Linked DNA regions of Drosophila melanogaster. The protein of the gene in region 2 interacts with the protein of the main gene of each other region in a pairwise test. Each region holds a gene or a part of one and is shown on either strand. Other genes may lie near its edges.

The links.
Region 1: the proteins of unc-119 (region 2) and l(2)k14505 interact in a two-hybrid assay, tested with the Drosophila melanogaster proteins (one large-scale study listed by BioGRID).
Region 3: the proteins of unc-119 (region 2) and CG32264 interact in a two-hybrid assay, tested with the Drosophila melanogaster proteins (one large-scale study listed by BioGRID).

What each region holds. Positions count from the first base shown.
Region 1 is NT_033779.5:21,259,172-21,263,399, forward strand, and holds l(2)k14505 (lethal (2) k14505), read left to right. Parts: upstream 1-1,996; 5' UTR 1,997-2,063; coding exon 2,064-2,163; intron 2,164-2,240; coding exon 2,241-2,548; intron 2,549-2,605; coding exon 2,606-2,786; intron 2,787-2,841; coding exon 2,842-3,092; 3' UTR 3,093-3,240; downstream 3,241-4,228.
Region 2 is NC_004354.4:7,287,623-7,293,633, forward strand, and holds unc-119 (unc-119), read right to left. Parts: upstream 3,677-6,011; 5' UTR 3,171-3,676; exon of another isoform or gene 3,167-3,170; intron 3,056-3,166; 5' UTR 2,944-3,055; intron 2,774-2,943; 5' UTR 2,629-2,773; coding exon 2,123-2,628; intron 2,057-2,122; coding exon 1,884-2,056; intron 1,643-1,883; coding exon 1,524-1,642; 3' UTR 745-1,523; downstream 1-744. Other genes in the region: CG2059 (uncharacterized protein), read left to right, coding at 1-18, 87-224, 289-427. UniProt on the Drosophila melanogaster protein: Myristoyl-binding protein that acts as a cargo adapter: specifically binds the myristoyl moiety of a subset of N-terminally myristoylated proteins and is required for their localization.
Region 3 is NT_037436.4:3,784,473-3,790,054, forward strand, and holds the start of CG32264 (uncharacterized protein), read right to left. Parts: upstream 3,489-5,582; 5' UTR 3,085-3,488; intron 1-3,084.

The DNA of each region.
Region 1 (4,228 bases), on a different chromosome or scaffold from region 2:
CAGTTCATATTGATCGTGTTCTTCTGCCGTACACCGCTTCTGTCCGTTAATGTAAACCATAAGTATAAATGAAATTAGTTAAATGTTTATTTATAAATAAAGCGCTATAATAAATTTCAATACATTTATCATAGTTAACTGATTAAGACCACTGAAATCAAAAATATTTTATTTACTAAGCAAAGCACACGCAAACAATTTATAATGTTTATTACGTTAACAACAAACTCATTTTTAATAATTCTTTATGAATACACAAAGTTACGCAATTTTCCCTCTAGGCGCATTGCTTAAATAGTTAAAGAAAAATAATAAACCCATAGCGCAATATTTAATGTAAAACAGTTTTCCTTGCGTGTGATGTTTGCTCTAGCTACGTACAAATTCATCATTTATTAAATTTAAAACTCAATTTTGCTTTTAAATAAATTTAATAAGTAAAATTCAACAATAATTGATATACAATTGTCAATGCAATATTTTGTAATAAAAATGCGAAAAATCAATATTAGTTTCACTGTTATTACGGAGCCTAAGGGTATACTAGATTCCTTGAAAACAGGTAAAAGGAAATGTTCCCAACAGCTTATTCAATCTGGCTCTGCCCTTTCGTTTGAATAAACTGATACGTCAAAATTCTTATAGAGTAAAAGGGTATATTAGATTCCTTGTTAAGTATATAACAGGCAGAAGGAAGCGTTTCCGACAATGTAAAGTATATTCTCGATCAGGATCAATGGCCGAGTCGATCTAGGTATGTCCGTCTGTCCGTATGAACGTCAAGATCTCAGGAACGATAAAAGCTAGAAGGTTGCTAGTCAGGGAAGTCGACTATAGCATTCTCTCTTGTTTTTAATCAATATTTTGCCATTTTTGATCAATTTTTATCAAACAGCGTGGCAGTTTTTTGCGGTTTTAGGGCTATAGAATGGGCGGGTCAAAAAGTTGTTTGGCAAATCGACAGAAATTTTTAAGACTAATAAAAATATGAATAAATATCAAAACATTTTTCAAAAGTTTGATTATTATCCTCGTTTTTCTCGATGTTTATGTAGGCACGCTCCATATCTGCTTTTAATCAAAACATTGAACAACACAAAAAATGTAACAGTAACTATGTTTGGGATAGAATGATTGATAAATGAGTGCTTGCAACAGGTCCTGAAATTTATAGACTGAACGGTTACCCGATATATATATATATATGTATGTATATGTTGTTAGTTATTCATTGGTTACAAATTAATTTATTTTATTGTATTGCTTATATAAAGACATGAGTTTATAATTTAATGGTGGATACAGATTTTTTCTAATTTAAAGTAGCAACCGAAAGTTACAACAAAACTAGTATGTGTAATCTATACATCCCACATTAGTAGTACAGAATAATTTAGTAATAATATATATACATACTTTATAATGGTACGAATTAATCCATTTGAAAATTTGTATGTTACAACTTTAGAACATTTGTTTGCCCAAAAATAAGGATTCATATTTTTAAATAAAATTCTTATAAAGGAATGTGTTTAGATGGTTAGAAAGAGCCACCACTATCTTAGAATATGTTGCTAAAGTTTCAGCGTTGCAAGCTTATTTCAGAACGTTGCCTCAATCATACTAACGCCCACAACTGTCACTGCTACAGTTTTGGAAAAGGTTTTGATTTTATCATTTGTCTTGCACATTGTATCGATGTGCCAAAAATATGATGAGGCCAAACATATACAATGGTCATATCCAATAGTCAGAAATTAATAAAAACAAACAAGTTTTTTAAAAATACCGCACATGCAATTAGTGCGCATAGTGACATCTGCAGTCGCTAAAAGAGACCCAAGTGTTAAAAGCTTACTCGACTAGAAGCTATAAATGGCGATTAATTCCTCTAAGGGAATACCCTCGATGTCCTTATGAAGGCAGTGGAGTAGCACAGAAAGGTAAACAGTACCTACGACTGATTTATTGAGATTTGTGGAAAAAGTACTACAGCCACACTGAAAACTCAACTCTGCTGTTAAACAGCTGAAGACAAGTAGACAGGCAGACAAACTCTAAAAATGAACGGAAAGTATGTAGTTAGCGCCATCCGAGCTCTCCGGTTGACCAATTTCAGCCAGTGCAAAGGAGCCGCTAGCAGTTTCACTGTGCGCCACTATGGTAAGCCGCGATAGCCAGAATAAAAACGTGTGTTGCCATTTCATAACATCCCGCGATCGGCGGTTCTTCTCCTGCAGCCTCTCCTCCCAAGCGATTCTACAAGAAGACTTCCGTACTGAGCGGCGACAGCGGCTATGAAGTGGTGTTGGATCACCGGAAACTGAAAACGCCCAAGGGCACACCCTTCATCGTCCGCAGCGAACCCCTGGCCATTGCTGTAGCCACTGAGTTCGACGCTCAGAAGGAAAACATCGAGCGTTCCCGCATGCACTTATCCGCGCTCTGCTTCACGGCCATTGACAATCCCAATCACCTCTCCAAGTTGGACATGGTCAACTACCTTCTCAACTTCATCGCCACAGACACGGTGCTCTTCCAGTACGATGTGAGTGAATCAACTGAGAATTAGAGTGCACATTCCACAGACATATATCTTTTGCAGGACGAAAAGGACCTGCAGGACCTTCAGGTGAATGAATGGGACCCGGTGATCGCCTGGTTCAACCAGCGCTACGACACAAACCTGCAGAAGACCATGAACATAACGCCGCCTCAGGTCAGCGAGCAGGATAAAATGAATGTCGCAAAGCATTTTCAGTCCTACAGTTTGGAAACTCTGCATGGTAATGCAGACCATAAGTCTGGAGTTCAACGTCTATTAAATATATTTTCCTCCAGGCTTCATTTTCGCTGTGGACACCTTAAAGTCGATTGTCCTTGCCTGCGCCGTCATCGAGCAGATGCTTACCGTGGAGAAGGCTGTGGCCCTGGCGCGTCTAGAGGAAGAATACCAACTTAAGTTCTGGGGTCGCGTGGAGTGGGCACATGATTTAAGCCAACAGGAGTTGCAAGCACGCCTGGCGGCTGCCGTGCTCTTCGTACACCTTAACTGTTCGGAAAACCTTGTTAAGCAAAAGATAATTCTTTAAAATTAAAATACCTGTTCAACATACATATGAGCTGACTACCACAGGGTTATGGTAGCACGTATGTAGGTCTCCTAGGACCTAGGACATAATAATAGATGTATATAAATCGTGCCTAGTTTGAAACTTATCAAGGTCAGGTCATCCTCCCTTTTTTTTTAGCTCTTACCGGTTTTTTTTTGTTGTAATAATACGGTTTATATTATCATTTTTTCATACTTTCTTTAAGCACGAAAGTAACATACTCTTTTGACGTCTCTTATAACACAACTGAATTTTAGTTCTGATTTTAATTAGTAAGCCACAAGGATTCTGGTACAGCAATACGTGGAGGCAGTGAACATAAGGAAGTACATTAAGTTTTTTGGAACTACACATGTACAAATGTGTAGGATATATGTAACATTTTTAAATTTGAATGAGATTACTAAATTTTAGAAATATTTAGTTTGTTTAATCCTAATTTAAGGTTCGGTTTTTTTGCACCTTGACATAGAACCCTATTTTTGGAACCCATTGGCAAAACATGGACATTTATTTATCTTACTTAAGAAAAAATTAAGTGCTAGTGTAATAGGCGCTTAGAGGAAGTCTCAAAAAACAAAAATAATTAAGCAATTTTTTTTCGTAGGTGTGGTATATTCTGATAAATACTTGCTTGGTATTTTAAAATAGTTACGGTACAGTCCTACTGTACACTGCGGTCACACTGGTTCGGACGTGGGTGGCGCATCATCGGTGGTATTCTGTTGCTAATTAATCAAGTGCAAAACTACATTTTTCGCCAGTAAATCCGAGGAAAGCTAAGTTTGCAAGAAAACAAACGAAAGCAAAGGCAGTTGATAATATTACTGGCGCGTTTGGTAAGCAGCGTCGTTCGAGTGCGTGATTGTTCCAATGTTTGTGCTGGTGTGCGTTTGTGAGTGCCTTTTCACTAAAAAAAAATGTAAAAAAAAGTGTTGCCAAAGCAGTGAGGCATACATTTTCCCAGTCGCTTTGTTTCAAACGAACGAGATTTGCAAAATGCGATTTATAGACCAGAAAACAAATCTGTATCGTTGCGCTGGGGATATTTATCATTTGAACCATCCCTTTTCACTGTTCTCGGTAGAGGGGATGTGAAAAAACCAGCGACTACA
Region 2 (6,011 bases):
AAATCCTGACACCGGCGCGTAAGTTTGCCACATATGTATTTGGCCTTTTTTGGGAACCGCTTTAAAATGAGATAATCTTCCTATAGTTTCTCTTGGGCCTGCAATGCCCATGTTCTTCGTGAATTCCTCACCCGCTTCGACAAATATCAGAGTAATTTGGAGGAACTGCCGCCGTACACGGGACCCACTACGTTCATTTGCGGCACGCGATCACCTTACATGAGGTAACTTGGATCCCGAGGTGCTAAGTAAACTAAACTAATTGAATCTTTTTGCCATCTTTATTAGACGCGAGCAATGGCCACAGATACAGAAAATGTTTCCCAATTCTGAGATCCACTGGCTGGATGCCGGACATTTAGTGCACTTTGAAAAGCCGCAGGAGTTTCTAACAATAGTCAGCGAGTTCCTGAATAGAACTGAGTAGACCAAATTTTGATATTTTAACCAAATGTACAAAGAAGTCAATCGCGTAGATCGACTTTAGCTAAATTGGAAAGTGAACGCTTTGTTTTTCTTGGGAACGGGAATTCAAATTAATTTCACTTCAGAACTCGAGAAGACATTCTTCAACGATCTACGCAGATCTTCAAGAATCTTCACCGAAAAGAGCGGGATAGCAATATATATATTTTTTTTTTTGATATAAGCGTTCTGAACTTGATGATTTTTCAGAATATAATAAATTTCTTAAGCACCTTTAGTGCACGAAATGCCCTCGATTTAACCCCCTTAGAAAAGTTTCAATTTATAGTGGTGTATGTACATTTAAAATGTAATTTAATTTATCATTCTTGTTCGGCGTGTAATCGTTAGTGTTTTTTTTTTTTTGGATTTCCAGTTACGTTCGTCTTTTTCCATTTGGTTTTTGTTTAAAAAATATACATACACAGACACGAAAAAAATGCCATGAAGAAGCTGATAGATTTCGTATGATTTCGTATGCTGCATACAAAAATTGACGGCAAATGGATTTTCCTCAATTTTTTTTTTTTGAAAATTTCCAATTCGCTTCTCATAAGTTCTGTGTGTGCGTGTGTGTATACGTACGTATTTTATATATATGTATTTGTTGTTTCTTGTTGGGTGTGTGTGTGGAGTGTCCTTACTTATTAGGATTAAATAAGTGTGTACAAATACATATATAAATCAAGGGAAATCACATAGCACTTAAAATTATATAGTCAAAGTGGAAATCATTGATAAATGAACACAATCCGCGTGCTTCAGTGTGTTGTTGTTGTGTTTGTGTGTTAGTTTCCGTTTGCAGGAGATCATATCTTGATGCTAAATACATCAAACAGGAATGGTGGGTAAAACTTTGGTGTGCTAAGGCTAAAATGGCTGTGATAATATTCCTCGATTCGATTCGATGTGTTTGTGAGTGTGATTGTTGACATTGAGTGGGTGTTTCGTGTGTGTGTGTGTGTGACAAGTCATTGATTTTGTCTCACAGCTTCTGTAGTTTCTAGTTCTTTAGTTATTAGTTTTGCTCTAGTTGCAGTTCCATTATAGTTGAGTTTCTAGACTATATTGCCGCCATCGTAGGCGTAGTCGGCTTTGTTGTGCATGACGAGTCGGTTTCCCACAAAGTAAAAGCTGTCCGAGCGCGTCTCAAAGGGGCTCGATATCATCTCAGCAACTAAAAAAAAATGGAAAACGAACGAACATATTTATGTGAATTGCATTTCATTAATAAGTCCACATCCTACAAACCGATAACAAAAAATAAAAACCATGATAGCTGCTCGCAATCTGACCAATAGAAGCCTCATCTCACAGGCGCAAATCGTAAACGACCTTGACCCACAAACCCCTTCAACTTTTGGCAGCAACTTTCAATTGCGTGTCATGCTGGCTGGGATTATGTAAAAATTGCTCACCTAGGTCGGGTGGAAGGTTAGGAAACTCGTAGATGTGCTCAACCGTATTCTTCGAAAATGGAAAGCAAAAGCCGAACTCAAAGTCAAACGTCTTTAGCAGGCGATCGCGGAAGAAGTGGCGTTCGATCATACGAAAATTATTAAGCGGCTGGCTGCCCACAGTGAATTCCACACTGCAAATAAGGGAAACTTACAAATTGAGAGGCATTTAAAACAAATGCAAATACTGTATAACCTACGTGGCTCCCACTGTTTTGAGGTTGAGAAATGCCGGTGTGAACTGATAGCGCACATAGCGTCCGGCATTTGGATCGGCAGTGTCATCCAGTGACAATTTCTCGGCAGCCGCCAGCATGGTTTCATCCGAGGACAGTCCTTCCGGATATTGTTCACTCGGCGGTTTGGCGATCTCGAAGAGCACAGCGCCGCTCTCCAGGTCGCGAATCTTGAACCGCGTGAAATCAATCTCGAACACATTTGCATTGGCGGAGCAGAGATAGTCGTCCGTGATCTTGGTCAGATGGAGCACCTCGTCGGGAGTCACGCTGGAAGACTCCGCAGGCCGTTTGGCATCACCGGAGGCACCAGCGCCCGCTGCTGCAGCTCCCGACGATCCTCCACTGCCGCCGTTGGCCTCCACTCCACTGTTCGAAGAAGAGGATCCTGCGGCCGCGGAGGAAGACGTTGTCACTGCGCCTGCACCGGAGGATTGCACCGGATTTAGTTGCTTACCCACCACGCTCATTGTGCACGGAATGAATCTGGTGGTATTATTTGTCTATAGTCTGCGTTTCGGATTTCTCAAGCTGAACAGCTTTTTTAAGGCTCCTGGCTGGATGGCTGCTGCAGTGGTATCCTTTGATTTGAAGAAGCTACTCCGCTGTCTCACTCTGCGAATAGAAAGGAATAGGCATTGGTTATTAGGGAGTAAATAATAAAATATAGCACAAATACTTTTGAATTTCTATTACTTCAAACTAAACTGAATAATGAAATATCACATTTTTTTTTTAACATAGCAAAAAAAAAAAAAAGAAGTCATAGTTGTTAAGTTACTCACCAACACAAACACACACAAGTGTAGAGTTGTCATAAATTGTGCCAGGATTTTCTGGTGGAAATATAAGGCTTCGTCTCCGCTACCCTATTATCCTTTCGCTTTCCGCTCCTCACTATTAATTTTTGCCAAATATGAATAGTTATTTGGCGAAAAGCACAAAAATAAGTTAAGTATAAGGTATATAAGTTAAAATAAATTCAACATAAATGCAAACACTACTTACCCACACGAATTCAGGTTGCAAGTGTTGCCATAACATTTAGCTGTCAGCGACAACAACGTCCACGACCATTGCAACAACAGCAACAACAACAACAACACCGAACCGACGACGACAGCAACAAATGAAATTCGTTTGAAAATCACCAGCAACAGCAGCAACAACAACAACAACAACAACAAATGACCCAATTTCTGAAAAAGCTGCGCTCTCCTTTTTCCTTTTTTTTTCCTTTGTGTTTGTTTTTCCCTTTTCGGTTCGCGTCCTTTATGCGAATGTATGTGTGTGTGTGTGTGTTTTTATATGTTTATGTATGCGCAGGGATTCATTTATTAATTTGGTTTTAGTTGCTGTTGGCACTGCCCGAAAATCAATTAGATCAATTTGACCGGCAATGCTGCTGGTGTTGTTGTTGTCGTCCGCAAAAGCAACTTAACGCACTTAAACGCTAAACATTGCACCTTTTTTGCCCACTTTTTTTGCACTACTCAGCAATCGATAGATTATCGATGATGCATTACAGGAAATCGGTGAGACCGTTCGCGCATGGGGAAAAACTTACGACCAACGTTGCCACATACTCGCAAAAAAACATTTCTGCGTTCTAGCAGGGGTCACACTGTTGGCGCAATATTCAAAATATTCTACATTTTACATCTAGAAAAAAGGCTATTCAGATTTTTAACATTATTTATTGTATAACCGAAAGTAAGCGAACGTTTGCAGAAAGCTTAATCGGAAATAATGAGTATAGACAAGTATAAGTATAGATTTTCACATCTTAAGCTTAAATTGAAAACCCAAACTAAAAAATAAAATGCATATACCCCCGTCACTCGCCAGAGTAAACCACTATATACAAAGCAAATTCGAAAAGGAAACACTTTGGAAGCGTGCAAATGTGTTAAATGGCGTGTTGCGATCGCCTTCCCATGCATTTTTGTGGCCGACAATTAGTTAATATCCATGCAGCAGACTGCCGCTTGCTTCTCCCGCTTCTCAAGTGCGCCGTCGAGTGGTTTCCTTTCCTTTCGCTTCCCCTCCCTTCGCCTAGAATGCAGATAAGCCCGGCCTAAAACTCAAGTGTCCTCCTATCCACATCCCATCCCATTCCATATACAACGCACCCATACTCGGACCCATTTCGATTTCCATATTCAGACGCACGGGCGCCAATGCCAGATCATGTTTGTGCACTGCGAGAAATGCTGGCTATAATATTATTTAGATCTATTTCGATTTTTCACGCTTAGTGAGTCGCTATTTTAGTTTATAGATTTCATGTAAATAAAATAGCACTATGATATTAAGATAGTTTTTTTTTTCATATTCATACATAAATGTATTTTTTTCTTTCAGTGCGAGACGAAAGTACTTGAGTTCAATTCTAGCTCCTCCTTTTCACATTTTCTCTGCTTCTTGCCGCTGTTATTGTTGGCCTTAAGTGGGTATTTTAATATTCGCAGCCGGAGCCAAAGAAGTGTTAAGTTTCAGGGGCCACATATGCACTTATCCCCCGTCCACTGTCCACTGCCCCTGCCCCTGCCCCTGTTTTTTTTTCTCCATTGGCGTCCGCGTTTCCTGTATTTTTTTTTTGTAGTTTTTTTTTTTTTTTTTGTTTCTTACATTGGTATTGGTGTGTATCTGTGTGGCAGCACTGGGAACGTGTTCGGCTCTATCTTTAGTACAGTTTGACTGGAGATCTCCAAACTGACCCCCCCCCCCTTGCACCGCCGCCCCTCACTTGATTTATCCCCCAAAAACTCACATAAAATCTGCAGACAGCCGGGCACCTGAGGAATATGCCATCTGACAGGCCGAAAGGGTCGACAAAAGATCCAAGGAATTCGCGGGATAATCCATCTTTTGTATCAGCGCAAATGCCATAGGCAGGATTCGGTTTCATTTGAGTTAAATTTGCTGTTCCATGAGATTAAATATTTTCGAACCAATTTTTAATGACTGCAGCAGGTGGCCAATTTAAAAGTACTAACTCTATATTATTCAATTATATCAAAGGACACTTTTAAGGATAATTTTATTCGCCCAGAGGATGGTAACCCAAAAATACTTAACCTGTTTTCTTCAGAATTTATATACATACTAATGTATATAAGCTTTTCCAAATAGTAGCTACATCCGACTTATCACCGATCGATTTACATTTACATAGCAAATGAAACTTAACGTTCGATTGTTAGTTGATGAAATTTGTTTGAATATTTCTTTCTTTCACGGACGGACCATAGAACTTTTCGAGCCATAGAACTCAAGTACCCCCTCCTGTGTACTTCAATGCGTGTTTGTGTGTGCGTCTGTGTGCCTGGGTATCGAAAACAAACAGTAGAGCAGCAACAAAAACCAAAAATCGTGGGCGATAATATTCGTACTCGAATGGCCGAACAGGGGCGTGGCACAAAAAAAGGGGGCTAGAAATATTTTCCAAAGCTTGTTGCATCTAATAAATGGGATCTTATGGTCATAGTATTACGTTGCTCACATTTTATAAAGTACTGCATACTTTCTTGGGAAAATGTTACGTCTGCGCAGCCTGTTTTGTGTGCCTTTTTATAAGAAATCCCCTTCGCAGAAGACGCCACTGACCCTATTCCAAGTGGCGATGACGTTATGCGCGCCGGACGGTCTGGCAATGCAATGCACACTGCACTCGCACTCACACACAGATACAAACACACCACACACACACACACATACTCCACATCGAGTGGCCGTTTCGGAGAGTGTGTTTTGCTGGGGTTTATTGCGTGTGTGTGTGTGAGTGTGTGCACACTCCATAGAGTAACACCTCCCAAGCAACGCGTTCAGTTCGTCAAAAGCGCCAACAACA
Region 3 (5,582 bases), on a different chromosome or scaffold from region 2:
AAAAAATGTAGATTATTATTTTAATTATTCCTTTATTAAACTAGTATACTTAAATGATCCGAAAGAAGTCAAGAAATGCCTAAATGATAATGGTAATTTTGCAATTTAGTACTAGAAATGTAGTTCAAGTTATGGGAACATCCGGTTTAGGGAGTTTCGCCTGTAAAGCCAAACAATGGGCTGCGAAAAAAAAAAAATCGAAATAAATGTGAGACCAGAAAGGAAAGCGTTGGGAACCAAATAGTAACAAAAACTAATGCGATTTGCGGCAGCAACAAAAAAAAGCCTCTCGGATTCATGGATTTTTCGTTTGAGAGGCGCCGCCGCCAGCCAAAAGCAATCAAATCCAATTAAATGCGAAAAAAAATCCTGAAAAAAACGCACAGATAAAAACGGTGGAAGCAGAACTTTTGTGTACAACAAAAAATATTGTTTATGTAAAAGCAGCAGCGTAAAAAAAACAAAAATATACCAATAACAACTTCCAGCACACGCGACTTTAAACAACAAATTTGTCGAACGCCGCAAGAAAATTTCAATGAACGAAGGAAAGGGGGGCAGAGATGGAGGAAGTACGGAGGCAGCAACAAACAGAAAAGGCAACAAAAACCGAAACAGCAGCAATGGCAAAACCAACAACAATCAGCTCTTTTGACCAGCAGCTGTCGCACAGTGGGATGCACAGTGGGCAATTAGGGGTGGATTAGCTATCAGGTGCAGAAATGGTTTGTTTAAGCTACAGAAAAATTCCTTTTTAAATGCCAATCTGCTAATATTAAATTGGGAAAATATTGCGATTGTGCACAGTAATACCTCCAATTGTCATACAACCCATTCCACTGTGCCCATGCAGCACAGTCCACAAGCACAAGTGTTCGGGGTTGCTGCTAATGGAACGCAATTCACAATTCACTGGGAATTCGCTATCTCTGTCTGCAGCACCCCTCTTTGTCGCTCCCCAGTAGCTCCGTCTCTTTCCGACGTTGCAACGACAATGGCAGCAACAAAAGCAAAACAGCGGCAGACAGCAAAAACCAATGGACAAAAACACAAACAAAACGGTGGACAAGAGTCGTCATCCTCCGCTGTTTTTGTTGTTTCGGCAAAACTTCTTTATCCCGGAGAAGGGAAAGAGATGGGCATATGAAGGGAGAAAGAGAGGGTGACAGAACGTTCGCATAAATTTAAAATTGCGCGCAAACGGCGCCCACAAAGCCAAACACCACAGTATGCAATTATCTAAGGAATTTTTAGTAAACTACATGGTAAACTGACGGGGATTCCAAAAATTTTTTATTTTAGTTGCTCAGCATGGTCACACTGTGCATTTCGGTTGAGTCAGCTGACTATAACAGCTGATGCTCTACAGTAAACAAAGAATTTGGAATCTCGAAAAATGTCCTGTTGTTTATAATTACACAATATTTCAATTTGTGTTTAATAGCTGGGTAATCCCAGAATAAACTAAGTGTAGTTTTTGTCTTGACTTCTTTTCTTATGACAGCCTTAGTTTCAATTAGGCAAGCACCACTGTCCGAAAACAACAAGGAAAGGCAATAAAAGGGAGCAGAGAATGCGTTTTGGGGGTTGCTGGATGCTGCAAAGGGGGGTGCTTCACAAAAGGGCCTGCCACTGCTGTGGGTGTGGGGGGGGGTCGAAAGTCGTCGCAAAGTGGAGTAAACTGAAGTCTGGAGCACAACAAAAAGCAGTAAAGGCGGCGGCAGAGGAAAATCCTAGGAGAGGGTGCGAAATCTCGCAGTATACACACCACTACCAGACTTTTCCTATACACATCTATGTACATACATATACAAATGGGTGGCACAACAAAAAAACGGAAGAAAAGCGAAGGAATCTGTCTAGACAACATTGTAAGTAGATAAAAATATTTGGTCGGAAAAATCGGGCGAGGAAATAATGAAATATGTAATTTCCTACACCGTACACCCATCTCTTTCTTTCCCCGCCTATCACTACTACCACTATCTCTTTCCGGCAGGTAATACCTTTTTTGATAAGGAAGCAATTGTAGCACATTTCTCTGCTATTTTTTTCAATTGCACCATCATTAAAATTGTGTTACGGATAAGATAACACAAGTTGGCGCTATATTTTCTTCACATATTTCCCACTTTTCGTGTGAAAATTCCATTTAGCGAGGCAGCGTGCCCCGTACACGCTGAATGAATTAATTTATTCATATTCAACATATTTATGCATTTGTGTAAACAAAAAGCAGGTGCCCGAAATTACTGTAAAGCGGTTATTGTTTACGCAAATGTTTGAATTAAGGAAAGAGAGAGTGAGACAGGTAACTGCTTATTTTTTTGACTGGTTTATTGTTATTTTCTGTTTATACTATTTTTATGACCGCTCTTTCCGCTTTTTTCAAATTCTTTTGTTATTGATTTCACTTTTCTGGATGGTTTTTTAAATACTTGAGATACAGTGGAGCTTTAAAATGGATAACTATTTATTTAAACTTTCTAGCACTTCAAATGATATGAGCATATGAGTTAATTATCTAAAGTAATTTTTAAAAGTTGTTTTCTAAATTAAATAATATAATGATATGATCAGATAATAGCTTCCTTCTTTACTGAGCGTTCACTGTGATCGAATTCACATGAAAGTATTTTTTTTCTTTGCACCTTGCGTATTTTGTTTTGCATCACCTGTCGCAGCTGATTTTTCATTCACACTATTTGTTTATCTACGATTATTATTTTTTTAGCTGCTCGTTAGCTGGTGAAATTCCCATAGAAAATTCATTAAAACCCAGCAAAGGAATTTTAGTTTTAGTTTCTCAGAGAGAATTCGATTGTTCGCTGGTGTGAGTGTGAGTGTTTTGTATGTGTGTGTTTAGTGTGTGAAGAGAGAAGTTGTAAAACCGGATTTTCCTTTTGGGCGCTTTCGTAGTTTTGTTGCCTTTTGCACTTTGCCTCGATCTTCGATTTTTAATAGCCACTTAAATTCGATATTGGGCTGTTAAAAAGTTACAACAATTTTCCTTTCTGCATTTTCTCTGCTTTTATTTTCTTTTCTCTGCTCTTGCATTTTGCACATCACTTGCTTTGCACTTACACTTGTTGATTATTTAATGTGCAATATTTTTATTGCGTTTACTTGCACTTTTTCGTATTCTTTACTCTTCTCAGCTGCTTTTCACTAATAATTTATTTAAATCAAACTGAAGCACGCACACAGCTGCACGTAGTTACGCACACACACGCACGCATACACTAAAAACGCCAAACGACGCGCCGGAAAAAACAACAAAAAGAACAACAACGAAGAGAGCGGCGAAACAACAAAAATCAAACGTTTCAAAATTCTCTTTCGCTTTGCACCGCGAAATTAAATCAAATCGAAACTTAAAAGATTGCCAATGCGATTTTGACCTAATGTTTATTGTGTTTTTTTTCTATTTCGAAGCGAGCGCGACGCTGTTTTTCCGACTTTACGATCCCCAATTGGCGTTCGATGTGCGTTCGTCTGCTCTCAAAAAAATTGTGACAAAAAATTGTTTATATGCCGCAGTGTGGCCAGCTGCTTAGCGGCCGATAAGGCCGAATTTGCACCGTTTCGCGGCATTTGTCGGCAGCGCGGTCACACTCGAGAAGAGAGCGGCTGGAAATTCAAAATTTAATTTGGCGCCAAACTCGATTTTATATCTATTAATAAATTTCTTGATAACATATCGTATTTACACGTGGCTATATAAACAGCATCGAAATATTATTACAAAGATAATATAGTTGTATCTTTGTTTTTAATCGAAATGGTCAATCTTTTTCAATATGATAAATATTTGGTTAATCATTAAGTCATATAAATCAAATTAATAAACGACGTTGAATCAAGTGACGAGTGAACTTCGTCTGCCTTTCATTTCACATTCACAGCAGTTGATTATAGGAACTCAAATTGAATTAGATTTGCCCATTGATTTGCATTTCGCACCCACAAATTCCGCCACCCGATGATAATTGCCAATTTGGGTGGAAAGCCGCCTCCTCTGGCGAGCTGGAAAATGTCGAAAAACTATTGAAAATCAATTTGCATTCCGCACCAGAAACATCCAAATAATGCGATACTAATTCCCCTCTCGAAAACTTTAATACCTCAAAATCCAATGAGGCAATCGGCAAATGAAAATCTTTTCGAGGGAAGCGAAAGAAAAACAAGAAGCAACCGCACTTCAAAAGCAATTTCACCTTGTTTTTCCAAAAACAAATACACACTGAACCAAAATTCAATTCACTAAACAATGGCGCAAGGCAAATCTCTTTTCGGCCATATATAACTTTTCGGTAAGGAATTTCCCAAACTGCTCTTCAAGAATTTTCACGAGTGGTGGCGTCTCCTATTTTTAGGCCCACTACAAAAACACCCTACAGTGAGCGCTCGGAAAAGTGAACTTTTAGTATAATCTTATATATAATAATATATAGAAGAACTAAATGGTAGATTTTCCCAAATTTTACTTTGAATTTGATAAGGAGTTTGAATTATTTTCTAGTTAGTTATATTAAGTCAAGTAAGTATTTACCTCATATATAGTTACAAATATTTATATACATAGTAAATATGTATATTTATATATGGCAAGTACTATTTTTATAAAACAGGAAACGGAAGTATCTTTCGCTCTAGTTGAAAATATTTAATGAGAGCTAAATATATAAATACGAAAAGGGGGGCATGGCAGGGGGAAAACTCAGCGCTGGAATTTTGTTGTTGCTCCAGAAATGCCGGCAAATGAAAAGCGCAGGTCCGCAAATGAAAAACAGAATGGAAAATTCAAAGAGAGAAAATTTTCAGGGAGAGAGCACAACAATAGCAGTTTGAGAGGCGCCGCAAGTTTGCGAAGCACTGCTTCAAGCAGTGCAATATTTACTGTTTATCGCATGCGAGAAATTTCTCGCCGATGTTTTGTGTGACTCCAAAACTATACGAAGAAAATTAATTTTGTAAATGATCGTTCAAATATATTTACGAACTTAATATTTAAAGAGACAATTTATAAGATTCAAATATTATGTTTAAATGTTTTCATTATTTATGGATAAATAAATTGGAAATCATATTTGCACATTATATTTTTATAAACAAATGGAGTTTGTGCTTAACTCATTTATGGTATCCAACATCTTTGGTAATACTATTTTAAAATAGTATTGTGCTTTTGAGTTCTCCCAACAGTTCAGCGTTTTATTCAATCGTCAAGGAAAGTTTTCCACCCACCGGAATAAAATTCCACTTCATTCCGAGCGAACAATTCGTCTTCAATGTCAGTTTTTCCTCGATTTCCCCGCCCATTTTCCCCGAACTTCTTATCCTTCAGCAAAATTAACTTGAGAATCTTGATAAAAGGGCTGCCATTCATTCATTCAGCAGCTTTGCCGAAAACTGTTCTCAATGCCAGAAGCTGCCAACTTAATTTATATTGTATTTAAAATGCAAAATGCACAGCATTCAACAATGGGCGAGAGCAAAGAAAGTGGGCGCTCTTGGGAAAGTGGGCGGGGCACAGCTGAAAAGCTGCTAAAATTTAACAACTTGACAAATTGAATGTTTGT